3 linked regions of the Arabidopsis thaliana genome follow. The protein of the gene in region 1 interacts with the protein of each later gene in a pairwise test. Each region holds a gene or a part of one and is shown on either strand. Other genes may lie near its edges.

What was found.
Region 2: the proteins of SMO1-2 (region 1) and ABCG13 interact in a protein complementation assay, tested with the Arabidopsis thaliana proteins (one large-scale study listed by BioGRID).
Region 3: the proteins of SMO1-2 (region 1) and Cand3 interact in a protein complementation assay, tested with the Arabidopsis thaliana proteins (one large-scale study listed by BioGRID).

What each region holds. Positions count from the first base shown.
Region 1 is NC_003075.7:11,954,293-11,958,861, reverse strand, and holds SMO1-2 (sterol C4-methyl oxidase 1-2), read left to right. Parts: upstream 1-1,943; 5' UTR 1,944-2,166; coding exon 2,167-2,502; intron 2,503-2,580; coding exon 2,581-2,903; intron 2,904-3,244; coding exon 3,245-3,392; intron 3,393-3,485; coding exon 3,486-3,518; intron 3,519-3,678; coding exon 3,679-3,738; 3' UTR 3,739-4,022; downstream 4,023-4,569. Other genes in the region: AT4G22758 (PPR containing protein), read right to left, coding at 41-385. UniProt on the Arabidopsis thaliana protein: Non-heme iron oxygenase involved in sterols biosynthesis by catalyzing the removal of the first methyl group at the C-4 position. 4,4-dimethyl-9-beta,19-cyclopropylsterols such as 24-methylenecycloartanol are the preferred substrates.
Region 2 is NC_003070.9:19,076,329-19,083,284, reverse strand, and holds ABCG13 (ABC-2 type transporter family protein), read left to right. Parts: upstream 1-1,833; 5' UTR 1,834-1,949; coding exon 1,950-2,136; intron 2,137-3,718; coding exon 3,719-3,798; intron 3,799-3,882; coding exon 3,883-4,344; intron 4,345-4,418; coding exon 4,419-4,541; intron 4,542-4,623; coding exon 4,624-4,785; intron 4,786-4,872; coding exon 4,873-5,157; intron 5,158-5,239; coding exon 5,240-5,512; intron 5,513-5,607; coding exon 5,608-5,715; intron 5,716-5,796; coding exon 5,797-6,153; 3' UTR 6,154-6,447; downstream 6,448-6,956.
Region 3 is NC_003074.8:21,837,183-21,843,272, forward strand, and holds Cand3 (tobamovirus multiplication protein), read left to right. Parts: upstream 1-2,002; 5' UTR 2,003-2,151; coding exon 2,152-2,274; intron 2,275-2,752; coding exon of another isoform or gene 2,753-2,780; coding exon 2,781-2,831; exon of another isoform or gene 2,832-2,940; coding exon 2,941-2,974; intron 2,975-3,065; coding exon 3,066-3,152; intron 3,153-3,244; coding exon 3,245-3,296; intron 3,297-3,396; coding exon 3,397-3,580; intron 3,581-3,665; coding exon 3,666-3,761; intron 3,762-3,881; coding exon 3,882-3,942; intron 3,943-4,085; coding exon 4,086-4,150; intron 4,151-4,242; coding exon 4,243-4,317; intron 4,318-4,406; coding exon 4,407-4,482; intron 4,483-4,559; coding exon 4,560-4,735; intron 4,736-5,142; coding exon of another isoform or gene 5,143-5,166; exon of another isoform or gene 5,167-5,225; coding exon 5,226-5,267; 3' UTR 5,268-5,581; downstream 5,582-6,090. Other genes in the region: AT3G59080 (Eukaryotic aspartyl protease family protein), read left to right, coding at 1-1,237.

The DNA.
Region 1 (4,569 bases):
AATTTGTTGATTTGAAAAAATAGAAGCAAACGACTCTGACCTCTTGATTGATCGGAGATGAAGACGAGGGCGAATATAAGTTCAACAACGACGGAGACGAAGCGAAAACCTCAGAGCGAATCCTAGGCAAGTAAACGATCGGTTTTGTTTCTTCTTCCATCGGTAAACCTCTCATCGGCGATGGTCGCCGCAAGTGATTACTCTGTCCGTCGCGGTGGCGATTAAGACTCGGCTCTGAGAAGCTTCTCTCGAAAACCTTATTACTCGATTTAGAGCGATTATTCTTGTCGGAAACATATCTGAAAGCTGTTCGTCTTGTTCTGGAGCTCCGACCTCCATTTCCTACAGGATTCGAAACTTTTCTCCGGTGAATCGAATCAGACATTTCGTGAATGATGATCTTTGCTTAAGGAGGAGGAAGAAGAAAAAACAATTGAGAGGTTTTGGTGGTTTGCTTGGCAAAGAAGCGAATTAAGAGTTATTCTCTGCTTTTGCTTTGCTTTACTCTTTTATTATCTTCTTTTCTTTCATTTGTATTTTTCAAATGTTTTTCCAAATCAAATTGTTTTTTTTTTTCTTTTTAACATAAGTGTGGATTTTAACATTTAAATTCAAACCGACCAAAAAAAATACACGATTAAAGGTAGTAATATAGACGTGGTTCTTGTAATATAGTATTTATATTTCCTGTCGACGATCGATTCTTTTATAGTATGATATCTTGTGCTGATTCTTACGTACTTGTGTTTATTATAGTAAAATAGAAATGCGTTGAATTGTAGCACTGTATTAGATTAAAACTTCTATGTAATTATGGAGCTAAAATGTTTTCTGGTTAGCATACGGAGTATTTTTTAAAAAATCTATCCTTATTATGGATAAAATGTGTTGGAAAAAGGCAATAATATACTTGTACAAATGAATATAAATTTCTTGATGCATTGTTTTAGAAGATTACTTGGGAGACTCACAATCCTATAAAGTGTAAAGGAAACAAAACTATTGGATTTGTAGAAAAGTTGACACGTTAAACAAGAAAACGAGAAACCCAAACAAGTTTCGTAAAACACAAAAAATCTAAGGTGATAGTGAGAAGCACATAAACAAATGAAAAAAAACACATAAACAATTAGAGAGGAGGGAGACTCAACTAGTATCATCAATTCATTAAATTTTACGAAAGTGCTGAGTAATGGAAGTAATATAAAAAATTTATAACCAAAAACAAGAATTCATCAACGTCAAGAAAAAACAACATAAAATAAAAAGGAGAATTTGTGTGGCTGAGATTGGTCCGAGGTTTGTTTCCACTGTTAAAAGAAAGAACTTTTGGGCTTGATTTAAAGTCATTAATGGTGTGGTCGACTTCTCTTATGCCATACGCACTCATGTTCACGCGTAACGCACTTGTTTTCCACCAAGTATTTAACAACGATCGTTTGTGACCCTTTTTTATGTATACTTGAAACTTAAAAAATATGTATTATTACATTTAAATATCATTTATTGTCATGACGAAAAAATTGTAAGACTTTATAATTTCAAATGTAACGTCACTTTTCGTGATGATGTAATACCATTCTATTACTTAAATACAATTGGCCAACAGCCTCAATTTATTTCAACCTTTTGCTATCTCTATAGTATAATGGTGTCATAAAAATTCATAGACACATTCCACAAAACTCGTGTATGTATATCCGTGTCTTTATATATATGTGTATATCCAAGTGTATAATAAAGTTTTTTTTCTTAAAAAAAAAAACAGAAATTTGTATGCACCATTTAAACAATTAAAGAAAGAAAATTGGGCCTACTCCAAACACAACGCTACTGTGGAGTACATTTTATCCATTTTAATGGCCCAATAATTTATAATGGGCTTTTAGTATGGGCCATTTTGTCCCTCTTTTTTATGTTGTAAGCGAGATCTTGAGACAATGTTAGTAATTTTGGTTTAATCCGGTTCAACAAGTAAACATCACACTTGTAAACTAAACCGATAATGCCACGTCACTACTCCAAATATTCGCCAAATCATAACAGACAAAATCCAACAACAACGACGACACTCTCCTCTCTCACTCTCTCTCTCAATCTCAATCTCAATCTCACGTCAACGACCGTCGCCGTCACCGGAAGGAAACGATTTCATCATCTTCTACAATGATCCCATACGCAACAATCGAAGAAGCGTCGATCGCATTATCTCGAAACCTCACATGGCTAGAGACTCTCTGGTTCGATTACTCCGCCACCAAATCCGATTACTACCTCTACTGCCACAACATTCTCTTCCTCTTCCTCATCTTCTCTCTCGTTCCTCTCCCTCTCGTTTTCATCGAATCATCTCAATCCACCTCAGATTTGTTCAATCGCTACAAAATCCAACCAAAAGTGAAAAACTCATTCTCATCGATGTTCAAATGTTACAAAGACGTCATGAAGATGTTCATCCTCGTCGTTGGTCCATTACAACTCGTTTCTTATCCTTCGATTCAGGTTAATTTCTGGAATTTGGCTTCTAATTTCGGAATTGATGCGATTTAGGTTGATTTTGTTTTTCGTGTGTTGAAACAGATGATTGAGATACGAAGTGGATTACCATTACCATCATGTATGGAGATTGTAGCACAGTTAGTGGTTTACTTCTTGGTAGAGGATTATACTAATTACTGGGTTCATAGATTCTTTCATTGTAAATGGGGTTATGAGAAGTTTCATCATATTCATCATGAGTATACAGCTCCTATTGGTTATGCTGCTCCTTATGCTCATTGGGCTGAGGTTTTGCTTCTTGGCATTCCCACGTTTCTTGGACCTGCTATTGCTCCTGGTCATATGATTACCTTTTGGTTGTGGATTGCTTTACGACAGATTGAGGCTATCGAAACTCATAGCGGGTAAGGAAAAGGAATGGTTTTGAATTGTTTATCTTAGTTTATAATGCGTTGGGGCTATGTGGGAAGTTTCAATAGTGCGTTTACCTTTTGTTGGTGGGGCTAAGGTTAGGCACTAGCCTTTTCTGATGCTTTATTGACTGTAATTAGCTCTAGGTGATTGTTTAGAGACTGCTTAGTTAATCTTTTGTGGTCAACATGAGCAAGAAATCATTCTTGAGATGATAAGCATCTTGTCTTGTTCAAATAAGTATTTGGACAATATGATGATTGCTTGGTGCATGAAACTTGTTTCTCTGGAGATAAATTGACTTGTTTTTTTTATTTTTCGTTTTCTTTTGAAGATATGATTTCCCATGGTCTCTGACAAAGTACATTCCATTTTATGGTGGAGCTGAGTATCATGATTACCATCACTACGTTGGAGGACAAAGCCAGAGTAACTTTGCTTCAGTTTTTACTTACTGCGATTACATCTATGGAACTGATAAAGTGAGTAATGAAACTTCAGTTCTTTTCCGGTTAGCGTCTACTAATTCTGGATAAAAATTTGACAATGTGGGTATATGTTCTTATTTTCATCAGGGTTACCGATTCCAGAAGAAGCTTCTTCAGCAGGTAAATAAATACTCCATAAACTGAGACTAGCTTATCTCTCGGCATACCGCATACCCATAAACGCAGCCATCAAATTGCAAGCTCACATAACAGTATATGTGGTATCTAGTATCATCATATTGATGATATGTTTCTTGATGCTATATCTTATGAGTTGCAGATGAAGGAGAAGTCCAAGAAGAGCAACAAGCTGGTTAATGGAGGAGAGAAATTCGATTAGTAAATCTAAAACCCCTCGCGAGGTTGACTTACCGTAAGTTTCAAGCATTCTACAAATGTAGTCAATACTTAAAAATGAAAGGGTAGTTAGTTTTCTCTGTTCTGGTCTTCCCTGTGTCACATGAAAATGCTCGTGACGAGTTCCTATCTGAAGTTTTTTTTAAAACTCTTTTGGAATTGGTGTGTGTCAATAAATCCTTTTTGTATATTTTAAATGTTACATAGTGCATTCATTGGCTTGTAACAAGTTCCTACTCTGATAGTATTAAGTTAAGTTAAGTATAACTTAAGTATCTAACGTTAACAACAAGGCCCGTCTAGCTCAGTTGGTAGAGCGCAAGGCTCTTAACCTTGTGGTCGTGGGTTCGAGCCCCACGGTGGGCGTTTCTTTTCCTTTTTGTTGCATTTGAGTGGCATGATTTAAAAGGAAAATCCTTACCATAACGATAGTTGCATTGATGATGGGGGTCGATTTCACTCTCGGAAAACAAATCTAATCAAAGAAGGCTAAAACAAGCGAAACACATGCATTTACTAAAGCTGTCTCACCAAACTTGAAAACAACAGTTTTAAGTACAGTAGTAGGTACAATAACTTATTTAGTTGTTACCAACTAATTTATGACTTTAAAATCGAAACACTCTCTTCCTTCCTGTGTTTTTTCAACTAAACCTAACAACACACAGTTTTTCTTTAACACACATTTCCTTGTTCTCGTTGTCTTAGAATTACCATGGACACAGTGAATATGATAATAACTTCAAGAATGGGGTTGTAGCTGTGTGAGGCTATATTTTTTTTTTTGGTTTAATGAGGCTATATTGTAAACTAC
Region 2 (6,956 bases), on another chromosome or scaffold:
GGATATTTCTAGCATTTATGGACCACAAGAAAATAATTATAGTTGTTTTTTTTTTGGTTAAACAAAAAATTGATTATAGTTATGATATGGAAAAGATGGAAGAAGTCATTTAATAAGTTTATCTAACAATCTATGATTAGGTTATCGCAGTAATGAATTTTCTTTCTTAGCAGAAATGAATAATTTAGTCACACTAACTACATAGCTTTAATTTCTGTTGATACAATTGAAGACAAGAAGACATAAACGTTGAAACAGTGTATTTGGTACTGTGTATGTGTTTGATTAGCACGAAACATGGTTAAAAACATCACATGGTTAAAACAAATCCGTCACCATCTGTTTTTTTTTTTTTTTTTACAACATACTTGTTTTCCATTCGTCATATCCGAAAGAGAATAAATTTGCAAGCTCTTCAAATTCATGGTTCGGTATTATAATCTTAAAAAAAATATATAAACTTACAATATAAATAGAACGATAGGTTTGATAAACAATAAAAATAGATGATAGGGGGCCATAAATAAAAACTCGAAAACAAAAGTTAAATAGCAAAATGCAACAAGCAAGCTCATGATGTGTCGAATACACTTCTGCAAACAATTTGGGGGAGATTAAAAATAGTCACTATAAAAAAAATCTTATGACGTTGAGAATCCGTCTTTTGCCTCAAAAATTACCAACACGAACCACATTGAAGCAGCAAGGAACATTGGACGGTTTCTTTCCAGAGGCAGAAACTAAATAGTATATCTCAATAAGAAATTTAACATACGACCAAAATTAATTGCTTTATAAAAATAATTAAAATATTAATGATAACCTTTTCCGTGGTTAATTTTCGGCCATTATGATAAAATAATTGATCCAATCATATGTTTACACAACATACTTAAAATTCCTTATATACTCTCTTGATTACTTTCTTACCAGTTACATAAACTCAATATGCAACAACTAGATTACTTTAATCTAAACGTTCTGATATACGGCCTTATGTCGATGTTAAGTTATATATATCACGTTCACAATGTATATAAATAATTCAAATAATTTTCCAAAAGTAATGGCGTCTAAATATAGTTGAGTTGAATAGTATAGACTCTCCTCATGGATTTGAATTTCCTCTGTGATTCGTTTGAAAAAAAACAATGTTTTGGAGTGCTATACTAGTTGATACACCCAACCAAATCGGAATTTTATAAAAAATTTGGACAAAATTACCAGAAAATAAAATTATTGCAATTTACGTGATATATACCCTAAAGTGTTATGTTTCCTTAAATCGTGTAACGAAACCATAAGTTTCTTATCATGCGGATGTCTGTAGCTCTCGACATATATAGTACCGAACGGGTCCAACGAGTAAATGAATATAACATCAAACGTCAATTTTTCTGTCACATGCCTCGTCTATGCATGCATGATAGTGTACATATATAATAGTTTCCTTTCTGTCTTTTACACTATTCTTAATCCACTTTTCTGTTTTGCATGGGTAGATATTTTGTTTTGGTTTCATAAAATAAATAGAAACCAATATCATTTAGTTTGGTTCGATTTTTCTTCGGATTCTAAATTTTTTTTATTTTATTTTAACTAAACTATATGTTTTATTTATTTTTAGTCATGATTTATTTTATATATCAAAAATATGTAACCGAATTTATTACATCTAGTTTTTTCCAATCACTTTCTTTGGTACAGTTTCGGTTTGACTCAAATTAGTTTAAACCAATTTGGACCACCCTAATTTATACATTTTTTTTTTCAAAGACCCTAGTTCTCTTAATACATTCACCGCACAACTTTTTATAACTATAAATAAGGCCACAAGCATTCACACACATTACACTTTTCTCTCCCAAAGAAACAAAAAAAAAAACTCTTAAGCTAGAACAAGTTTAAAACTCTTCGCTCAGTTTTCGATCTATCTAACAAAAGCATACATGACTACGCCGGAGGGGGCGATGTATGTGGCGTGGGAGGATCTTACGGTGGTGATACCAAACTTCGGTGAAGGAGCAACTAAGAGATTACTGAATGGAGTGAATGGTTGTGGTGAGCCAAATAGGATCTTAGCTATTATGGGTCCTTCAGGTTCAGGCAAATCTACGCTTCTTGATGCTTTAGCAGGTCCCTTCTCTCTCTCTCAGACACACACACCCATACATGTCAAGATTAGCTCGTCGTTTTTATTATGTATTTCTTTTATTGTTAAATGGTTTTCCTCTATTATATAAATCTCAAATAAGCTGAAGCAACATCGACCAACAATTAAAAGATATAGTTTTTAGAGGAATTTAACAACCAACCACATTTAGCTTTGAAACCAACATTAAAGGATGAGACTTACCCACTTTGAACCTAGTATTTAGTGAATCGTTCTATGTACTCTATATATATATATATATAACTATAATTAACAATATACATGACGTTATGTCTTTCTTTTAAAAAATTGTCCAAGGAAACTTTCTCAATATACTATGTAAAAAGTGTTTCACTTTTGGAAAATAAGAAATTTCTGTTTTCTTACATTAAAAAATATTCACAAATCTTTTAGTAATTTTTATTTGGAATTGATAAGGATTTCTGCCATTCGTAGTTAAATTTGAGAATATAAGTTAGAATTTATTTGTTAGATATATATATATATATATATATATAGGTGTATGTCTGTGCGTGGGTGGGTGTGTGTCCTATTCAACATAAAATATTTAATTATTATTAACCTGTAAATTCGTATGTAATCAAAATTAACTAATATGATACTTGATTAGTTTTTTGTATATTGGAAAAATACATTACTACAATAAAATTGATAACTTTCCTATTTGAAAGCAACAAACTATGTACATACTGTATCAGTATCACAATTTGGTGAAATGAAAATATTAACTGAAGTTTTTGTACTCTTCTGTAATTTTTTTTTTTTTTCTTCTGTAACTTTGACCAAACGTAACATATATATATGTAAAAGAAATTTGAGAGCATGATATAACATATTTATGTATCAAGATATTTATAACTATTGAAAAACAGTGCTATATTTATATCTAAGTTTCATGTACACGATGAGACATATATAGATATTTCTAACTTTATATTTATGGATTCTAGCTACCAATTTTATTTTTTAAGTATAGCTATATACTATCGGAGTACTAAATAAATATTAAAAAAAAAATAGTTGCAATTTTCATGTTCTTAATTAATAAATTTACATCGTCGTACATTTAGTATTGAATAAATTGATAGTTACGTTTCTCTAACGTAGACTATGTACAGAAATTTTGCAGTAACATTTCTTATTAAATCATATTTTAAATGTTAACCAACTACCAATCACCAATATTCTGACACAAATATTTAGGATTGCACGATCGTATCTTCATACCGACTTGCGATCTCTTCACAAGTTGAACCCGGTTTGGTGACTGGTCGGACTCTTTGAGGGATGTTACGTTCAATCCAAAAACAATCCAAATCGATTATTATTTTCTTGACCAAACCTAAATTTGATTGGATTAAGAAGATCTTTATTTTATGCTTATGACTAATCGAAACCAATTTAATTTTACTGTGGCTAATATTCTTGTAAAAGCGAAAAACCCAAAACCGGGTTATAAGATTGTTCTATCAATGCTATAAGATTGTTCAAAAACATGAAAGATTTAACATCTAACATTAAAAGGTAAATTTGGTGATGGTACAGGAAGATTAGCAGGGAATGTTGTAATGAGTGGCAAAGTACTTGTCAATGGCAAGAAGAGAAGACTTGACTTTGGTGCTGCCGTAAGAAAATTTATCTTTTCTCTTTAGTTTTTACCCTTTTACACAATCAAACTATTATTATTCATGAATGTCCTAAACTCTCAGGCTTATGTGACGCAAGAAGATGTGTTGCTAGGAACTTTGACAGTGAGAGAATCCATATCTTACTCGGCTCATCTCAGGCTCCCTTCAAAGCTTACCAGAGAAGAGATCAGTGACATTGTGGAAGCTACAATCACTGACATGGGTCTTGAAGAATGTTCAGACAGGACCATTGGAAACTGGCATTTGCGTGGAATAAGCGGAGGAGAGAAGAAACGGCTTAGTATTGCCCTCGAGGTCTTAACAAAACCAAGTCTCCTCTTTCTAGACGAACCAACTAGTGGACTGGACAGTGCTTCAGCTTTCTTCGTGGTTCAGATTCTTAGAAACATAGCAAGCAGTGGCAAAACTGTGGTTTCTTCGATCCATCAGCCGAGTGGTGAGGTTTTCGCCCTCTTTGATGACCTGCTACTTCTGTCTGGAGGAGAAACTGTTTACTTTGGCGAAGCAGAATCTGCAACAAAGGTAATAAGATAGAGCATTGGCAAGAGTATATAACCATTATGCTCATTTGTGTTGTTGTTGCTTCGACATTGCAGTTCTTTGGTGAAGCAGGTTTTCCTTGTCCAAGTAGACGGAATCCATCAGACCACTTCCTTCGCTGTGTCAATTCCGATTTCGATAATGTCACAGCGGCTTTGGTTGAATCTCGGAGAATCAACGTTTGTTTTCCTCTGCCCTTCTTGTTTTTTCATGAACTTACAATACTCTCAAGCTTTTGACCTCGACCTTTTACATCTGCAGGATTCATCTTTCTCTCTTCACCAACTACATGAAACTACAAACACATTAGATCCTCTGGATGATATACCAACTGCAGAAATTAGAACAACACTTGTCAGAAAATTTAAGTGTTCACTTTATGCAGCAGCTTCAAGAGCAAGAATTCAAGAAATAGCATCGATAGTAAGTTACGGTTACTACTTCCCTTAAAACTACAATGTATCACATAATGAGAGTCTCATAAGCACAGTTATAAACCTTGTGCAACAGGTGGGGATTGTCACAGAAAGGAAAAAGGGGAGCCAAACTAATTGGTGGAAACAACTCAGAATACTTACTCAGCGATCTTTCATCAACATGAGTAGAGACTTGGGGTACTACTGGATGCGGATTGCAGTCTACATAGTGTTATCCATTTGTGTCGGGTCAATCTTCTTCAACGTCGGGAGAAACCACACAAATGTTATGAGTACTGCAGCTTGTGGCGGATTTATGGCAGGCTTTATGACATTCATGTCAATAGGAGGATTCCAATCCTTCATTGAAGAAATGAAGGTAAAGAGCTAAACAGAGAAAAATTCTCTTTCTTCACCTAAAAACTTATCTTATGTTTTAGCATCTTTATTCCTGAAAACAGGTGTTTTCTCGCGAAAGGCTCAATGGACACTATGGGGTTGCAGTATACACTGTGTCTAATTTACTCTCCTCATTACCTTTCATAATCCTTATGTGCCTCTCCACCAGCTCAATCACTATCTACATGGTGAGGTTCCAATCCGGAGGTTCTCATTTCTTCTACAACTGTCTCGACCTTATCTGCGCGATTACAACTGTGGAGAGTTGCATGATGATGATAGCTTCAGTAGTCCCTAACTTCTTGATGGGAGTCATGTTGGGAGCTGGTTACATTGTAAGAGTGGCCTCTGTCGCTCTTTCACCTACAAGCTTTCTTATATCTCCAAAAACTATTCTAAATTGAAAACCGCTTTATCCTTCATCTCATAGGGAATTATGGTGTTAAGTGCGGGGTTTTTCCGATTCTTCCCCGACTTACCAATGGTGTTCTGGCGATACCCGGTGTCCTACATAAACTATGGTGCATGGGCACTACAGGTAACCAGGTTTTCTCAACTTTAAGATGCAGACTATATCGTCAAGTAGCTATCTTAAATGAGCATACCTGATAAATTGCAGGGAGCATACAAGAATGAGATGATTGGGGTGGAGTATGATTCTCCGTTACCCTTGGTACCAAAAATGAAAGGAGAACTCATTCTTCAAACTGTTCTAGGCATAAATCCAGAAAGTTCAAAGTGGTTGGATCTAGCAGTTGTGATGATGATTCTCATTGGGTATAGGATTGCCTTCTTCGCCATCCTCAAGTTCCGGGAAAAGGTTTTCCCAGTTATTCACATGTTATACACAAAGAGAACTCTGAGCCATATCCAGAAAAGGCCTTCTTTCAGAAGAATGACACCTTTCCCTTCCAGGCGATACCCTGTTCACCATGCTCTCTCTTCTCAGGAAGGACTTAACTCTCCACTGCATTAGAAGCATATACAGCAGGATGCAATTTCCATATATTTCAATATGTCAGATGTCACTCTCTTCAAACTTGATAAACTGTTTGTAGCCCGTTGTGTAAGGAAAAAAAAAAGAAAAGAGAGATACTATCATTCTGACTAATGAGATTTGTTTAGCATGAGGATGGTATCTATCAGAGATACATATATTGGAGAAAAAAGATAAGCATGGCTACATTATCAGATTACAAGTGATGCATGCATGAACCCCTAAGAGAGAGTCTACCAACGAACCACCGTAAATATATCAAATAAGGCACTTCGTTTGCTAACATAGCTTCAGAAGAAACTGTGTTATGGAAATCAAATAAACAGAAGATGGTATGGAGATTTGTTACCTGGCTGGCAGTAGAACACTGGTCCTTGCTTGATAGCACCAGTGACGCAAATCTATAATCTGTGCAGCACAAGAACAGAACAGACCAGGCATATTTGACTTTTATCACTAAGTGCCATGAAATCTCCTCTTTTAGCATATAGTTGATAGGGAATAGAATCAAAACTAACAAAAGTAACCTCCCAAAGGCGTTTGTTGAACAGATAGAGAACAAACAACGAGATACTTAAAACCTTAAAAGTGTAAAACCAAGCAAAAATGGTAAATTTTCAACTTTGGGAACCCAAATATAAGCTCCCAGAAATATTACATAGTAAGGAAAAAAAATACACAAACAATCAATAACTTTAAACAAATATGGCTAATCCAGTTGTAAAATCAGAAAAAACCAGTCTGATTATTTTAGAGTAGACATGTACAGAACTCATTTGTTG
Region 3 (6,090 bases), on another chromosome or scaffold:
AAACACTGTTTCGCAGAAGCAGAAGAAGAATGATAAAGAAGTTGTTACCACTACTCCGGTGGCTTCTTCCGTGGAGGAGCAGGCTGGTCAATTGGTGGCAACACTTGAGTCTGGTATGACTCTCGGTTCTGGCGAGTACTTCATGGACGTGTTGGTTGGTTCGCCACCAAAACACTTCTCCTTGATTCTTGATACAGGGAGTGACTTAAACTGGATTCAATGCTTGCCTTGCTACGACTGTTTCCAGCAAAACGGTGCGTTTTATGACCCTAAAGCCTCTGCTTCTTACAAGAACATAACTTGCAATGACCAAAGATGCAACCTAGTCTCATCACCTGACCCTCCAATGCCCTGCAAATCAGATAACCAATCATGCCCTTACTACTACTGGTATGGGGATAGCTCCAACACTACCGGAGATTTTGCAGTAGAGACTTTCACGGTTAACCTCACGACAAATGGAGGGAGCTCGGAGTTGTATAATGTTGAAAATATGATGTTCGGTTGCGGTCATTGGAACCGAGGTCTCTTCCATGGTGCTGCAGGCTTGCTTGGTTTAGGAAGAGGCCCGCTTTCGTTTTCCTCTCAGCTTCAGTCTCTTTATGGTCATTCCTTCTCTTATTGCCTTGTCGACAGAAACAGCGATACCAACGTTAGTAGCAAACTGATTTTCGGAGAAGACAAGGATTTGTTAAGTCACCCGAATCTGAACTTCACTTCTTTTGTCGCTGGGAAAGAAAACCTCGTCGACACATTTTACTACGTACAAATCAAATCCATTCTAGTCGCGGGAGAAGTTCTAAACATACCTGAAGAAACATGGAATATCTCATCAGATGGAGCTGGAGGGACGATCATTGATTCAGGTACAACCTTAAGTTACTTCGCAGAACCTGCATATGAATTCATCAAGAACAAGATTGCTGAGAAAGCTAAAGGGAAGTATCCGGTCTATAGAGATTTTCCAATCCTAGATCCTTGCTTCAACGTCTCTGGCATTCATAACGTTCAGCTGCCAGAGCTTGGGATTGCTTTTGCAGATGGCGCTGTTTGGAACTTCCCGACAGAGAATTCTTTCATATGGTTGAATGAGGATTTGGTTTGCTTGGCAATGCTAGGAACTCCCAAATCAGCATTTTCAATCATTGGAAACTACCAGCAGCAGAATTTTCATATACTCTATGATACAAAGAGGTCTAGGCTCGGGTATGCACCTACAAAGTGTGCAGATATATAATCTTTCTTGTCGATTTTTAAGTCCATCAAAGCAACTGAACACACAATAAGAACAGATTCATTTTTTTCCCTTTAGATTTTTTCATTCTTTAGGATATTCCTTCAAACATGTAATGTATTTGCTGTAGAACAAAGATCATACCAAACTAATGTACTTATTCAAATTCATTTCTGAATACAAAGTGATTTAATTTTGCTTGCTACATGCATTTTCTCAAACTCTATAGTCTACCATCAATGACAAGTAAATTTGTAGTCACTGGAATTGTCAAAGTTTGATTAGTAATCCCTGAATTGTTTGTGAGTTTAGGACTCACTTTGGTAAGGTTTTAAGGCAAAGGAGTTGTCAAATCATCGTCTTTGTTGATCCAATTTGAAAGAAATGCAGAAAATCTAGAGAAATTGGAAACTAAAGAAGCTTGAGTCTATTGCAGAACACAAACTATACAAAAGAAATCGGATTATGTACCTGAGCATGGTCGGAGAAGAGAGTTGCAGAAAAGAGGTGTCTCTGTTTTGCAAAAATAACTCGTTTAGTTCTGATTTTTACAAAAAACCCTCATTTTACATCTTCTAACAATAATTAATAATTAATTTTAGTTAAAGAGATATTGATTACTTAATAATTCTTTTAAGCCAAGAGTAATTAATTAATTAATTTATGGCAGTAATTGTTGTATATTCTAGTGTGCCGTACCACTTGTAGCAATTAAATTTAGTAGATAGTATATTGTGTTGTCCAGGAAATATATAAATATAAAAAATAATTTTTATTTTTGTCTCTCAGACCAGACCCAACCCATCTCCTACAACCATCTGTCTCGGTGGTGTTCTTTGATCCTCTCTCTCTTACAAACCTAAAATCTAGGCATTCGATCTCTTGGGGAGGATCGAGAAGAAAAGAGCGGATTCACGATGAAGATCTTAGCGACTCTTTTCGAATCAACCAAGGATAAATGCTATGCTCCTAGCTTCATCGCCGTCAATCTCTGTTTGGCTTTTATCGATGCCGCTCTTGCTTTCATCGCATTCCTTCAGGTTCTGATTCTTGGTTCTTCTGATTTCCTGAAAGAAAAAGAAAAAATCAGTCTTGATTTGTGAATGCTAGATTGTGTGTGACCGTTAAGGCCTGTTCGGACAGGTGAAGCATTGTGCTTATTGATTAAACGAGATGTGAGATTATTGATTCTTGATGTTGAATTTAATGAATTGGTTGATTTCAGTCTTTAGAGTTGTGTGTCTGTTGTTCATGTGGTTGACCATTAAGTTTAAAGGTCAACTCTATGAATAACTCACGGAGCTGAAGTGTGTTTGTGTAGAATGAGAGATTTGGATTCAGGGAATCTGAATATGATATGAATTATTAGCATTAGAAAGTAGAATCTTTTTTTCTTTTTTAAGTGCTATGTGTGTAGATTAAGATGTTCTTTTCAAAGGTTCCTATGTAGTTTTAGACGGTGAAGTAATAAAAAAAAAGTCTTATTCTCTTCTTTTTTTGTGGGGTTTGGCTTATAAGATTTATCTTGGCTGCCTACTTCTTTCAGTTATCTCGATTTCACAGGCGGAATAAACAAGTTGGATGGACTCGGCAAAAAGTATTTCTTCTCATCCCAACCAATTTAGGCTCTATGTTATTGTTATATGGTTACAGTTATTGTTACTTTTCATGGCGTGTATCTGACACATCCATCATGAAAATTGCAGGTACTTCATCTTATGATTGCTTCTTCAAACACTGGTAAATCCTCAGTCATTTGTTGTTCAGGAACAATTATAATTGGGGGAAGTTTTAGCCAGTGAGTAAGGTCTCTATTCGTATATATTGGCAGGTTCTGTTATTTATTTCGTGGCTGCGGTTATAGCGACTTGCACAAGGTGGCATCATTGGTCCAACGCATTAGGTTTTCTACTCATGGGTAAATATTTCATTCCTTTGTGAAGGTTTGTGTATGTTTTTCATTGATTTGTCTTATAGTTAATTCCCTGATGAATCAAATTGTACTTGCAGCCTTTCCCAAAATTCTGTTTCTGGCAACTTTTCTCCTGCTTCTCTCTTTCTGGTATGTATATTCTCAATACTCTGATCATATTGTGTTGTCCCTGATTATTTTATCTTAATAATGATCTGAGATAAGACAATGATGCTTCTTCATGTTATAGGGTAGATGTTTGCCATCAGGGAAATGGAGAGGAGGATGATGATGATGATGAAGAAAATAGCATCCAACAAGTGTTGCTTGAAAAAAGCAAGAGCAAGCCAGGTTCTTCGAATGCAAGTGATCGTAGAAAGTGTTGCTCTTTCCATGGTATTCATGTTGGAACCCGGCAGAAGTTTGTTGTTGCGGTATGGGATACTTTCAGTTTTGTGCATTAACCTCTAGCCAAGTCATTTCTATGATCTTTATAAAAATGTTTATCTTTTTTGCTAGGCAATTATTCTTGTGTTCATCTTAATGATATCATTTGCAATCCTTATCTGGATCGCTTCCGGAAAGAATCCTATGAATTCTTCATTATTGGCTGAGGTATGTGGTATTCCTCTGCACATTGATATTTCCTCTTTCACTAAGTTCTTAAGCTCGAGAAATAGAAGACTTTTGTCTATATTTTTTCTGGTTTTATGATAAACTCACTTCCTTATATAGGTGTATGTCGATATTTTTGCTGCAATAATCCTAATCACTGGAGGAGGAATCTGCTTCTATGGTAAGTGATTTCTTAAGTTCTTTTCTGGTTTCAGCTATTCATATTTTTCTTCTAGCAATTCGTGAGATGTTTTGGTCAGTGGTTTACTGGCTTATTGCTATGATTGAACAGCGTATATTCACAAACTCTTTTATGTTCTTTAGGCCTGCGTCTGCTCTTTAATCTAAGAAAGGTGCGGTCTGAACAAGTTTCATCAGAGATGCGAAAGGTAACTAATGATTCTTTGGCTCAACAAGCTTTTCTTTCTTTGCACATGTCAGTCGAATCCTTACCCTGAAAGTACATTTTAACCATTTATAGGTATCGGGTCTAGCAGGAGTCTCAGTTGTTTGCTTCACTGTTAGCTCTTTAATCGCTCTTCTCACACACATTCCAGTAAGTCATTATCACTCAAAAAAGTATGTCTGTAAACCGAAACCTAACATTCGTCGATACATTTAACCAAAACCAATCTTTGATCTCAGCTCTTTTATCATTGGAACCCAAGCAAATTACACGGCATCAAAGCATTGGTTCTTCTGATCATATACTATTTCATAGGTGAAGATTTTTTTCTTTCGTTTTGTTGTTTTGAAGACCTTCAAATGCAGGGTTACTGATAAGAACGCTTTTTAAAGGTTCCACCGTCCCATTGGCTTTCGTTTTATGGGTTTTGCGGGAGTTACCCCCTCAAAACATTGTGAGTAGGCAAGAAGACACCAGAAGGATTACTTATGTCAACTATGAAACTGTTCCAAGGCAACCTCAAGGTCCTCAACAAGACTGGGCCTCCGCCACAGTGTCGAAAAATCAGGTATACAATTCTCTTGATGAACATCTAAATTAGGAAGTCATGTCTGACACATACAAGGAGTTTTATAGTAAGCTGTAAATGCATGCATCAGATAAACTAGGGGTGGGAATATAAACCGAAGCAAACCACAATATTTATAGCTAACTAACTCTATTTAGATAAGAAAAACTCAAACCGTATGCTCACTTTTAAGATAAACGCAATGTTGAGAGCATTCGAGAAAGGTTTGAACGAATTGCGGTCTGAACATGAATACATAGTTGAAACACTACGAAAAATCCTCAAATGAGAAAGAAGTTTTCATTCTATTAGTGACTTCTGAGGTTATTTCAGAGTTTCCTTTTTATCGACCATAGATTGTTTAGGGAGGTCACTTAACAGTTTTTGGTTCGGAAACGACGGCGCAGGTGTCTAAAGCAAGTCCTATATGAACCAAACAATCATCATAATCATTGACCTGAAGCAAACATCCGCCAATCTTCTTTTGTAGTTACCGGGAAAAAGCCTCGTGGGATTGCAGAATGGTTCTTAGGCCCAATGTGGTGTGTTGTGGTGGAGTGAATGAAAGTGGAAACAAGCTCGTTTTCTTCTCTCTGAGTCGCCTTGGAATACAAAAATTTGTTTATAAGATAGAAATGGAGGTTTGAATCTGAGAAAGCTGTCTGTAAATATTAACTTTTGATTGCAATTTATAGTTTAGCATCATGTGTTGGGGGGACTTGTGGATGGATATAAAATGTGTTCCAAGGAAGATATAATTTTGTCTTCCTTTCTAAACAGCGTCGTTTAAGCTGCTTTGTTATCATTTACATATACGACGACGCATCATTCTGGTTTTAAAGATGGCATATTACGTTTGAGATTAAACGCCACCGTTTTCGAAAGATAGCACGGGCATTATACGATGTCGTATTGCTTCCTCTTTCGAAAATTTGTTAGCGCGATTTTGTTAAACTTTTAGCGCCATTTTTTTTCACATTAAAAATTTGAGACCCCGAAACGGTATCGTTTGTTGGATGTTATCCTAAAATTGACGGATCTGATATGAAAAAAAAAATCCTTAAAAAAACCGTTTGAGAACTTTTTGGATATTTGTGGTCTTCTCTTTTCGTCTTTCTTCTCCACTGTCACCTTCCTCGCTAAGCAAAAGAATTTAGAGAGAGCTTCGTACTATGCCCAGAGAAAAAAGCAAAAAGCGAGAGCCAAAAAGATAAGAAAGATCAAAAGATGAAAAAGCTTAGACGTAAAAAAGCAGAAATATATGTATATAGAATTAACAAGTCTCTCGAAGAAAACCCTTTAGCCATCTTTATCAATCTCTTTTCTTTTGCGTTCTCTATAAAGTTGGTATAAAA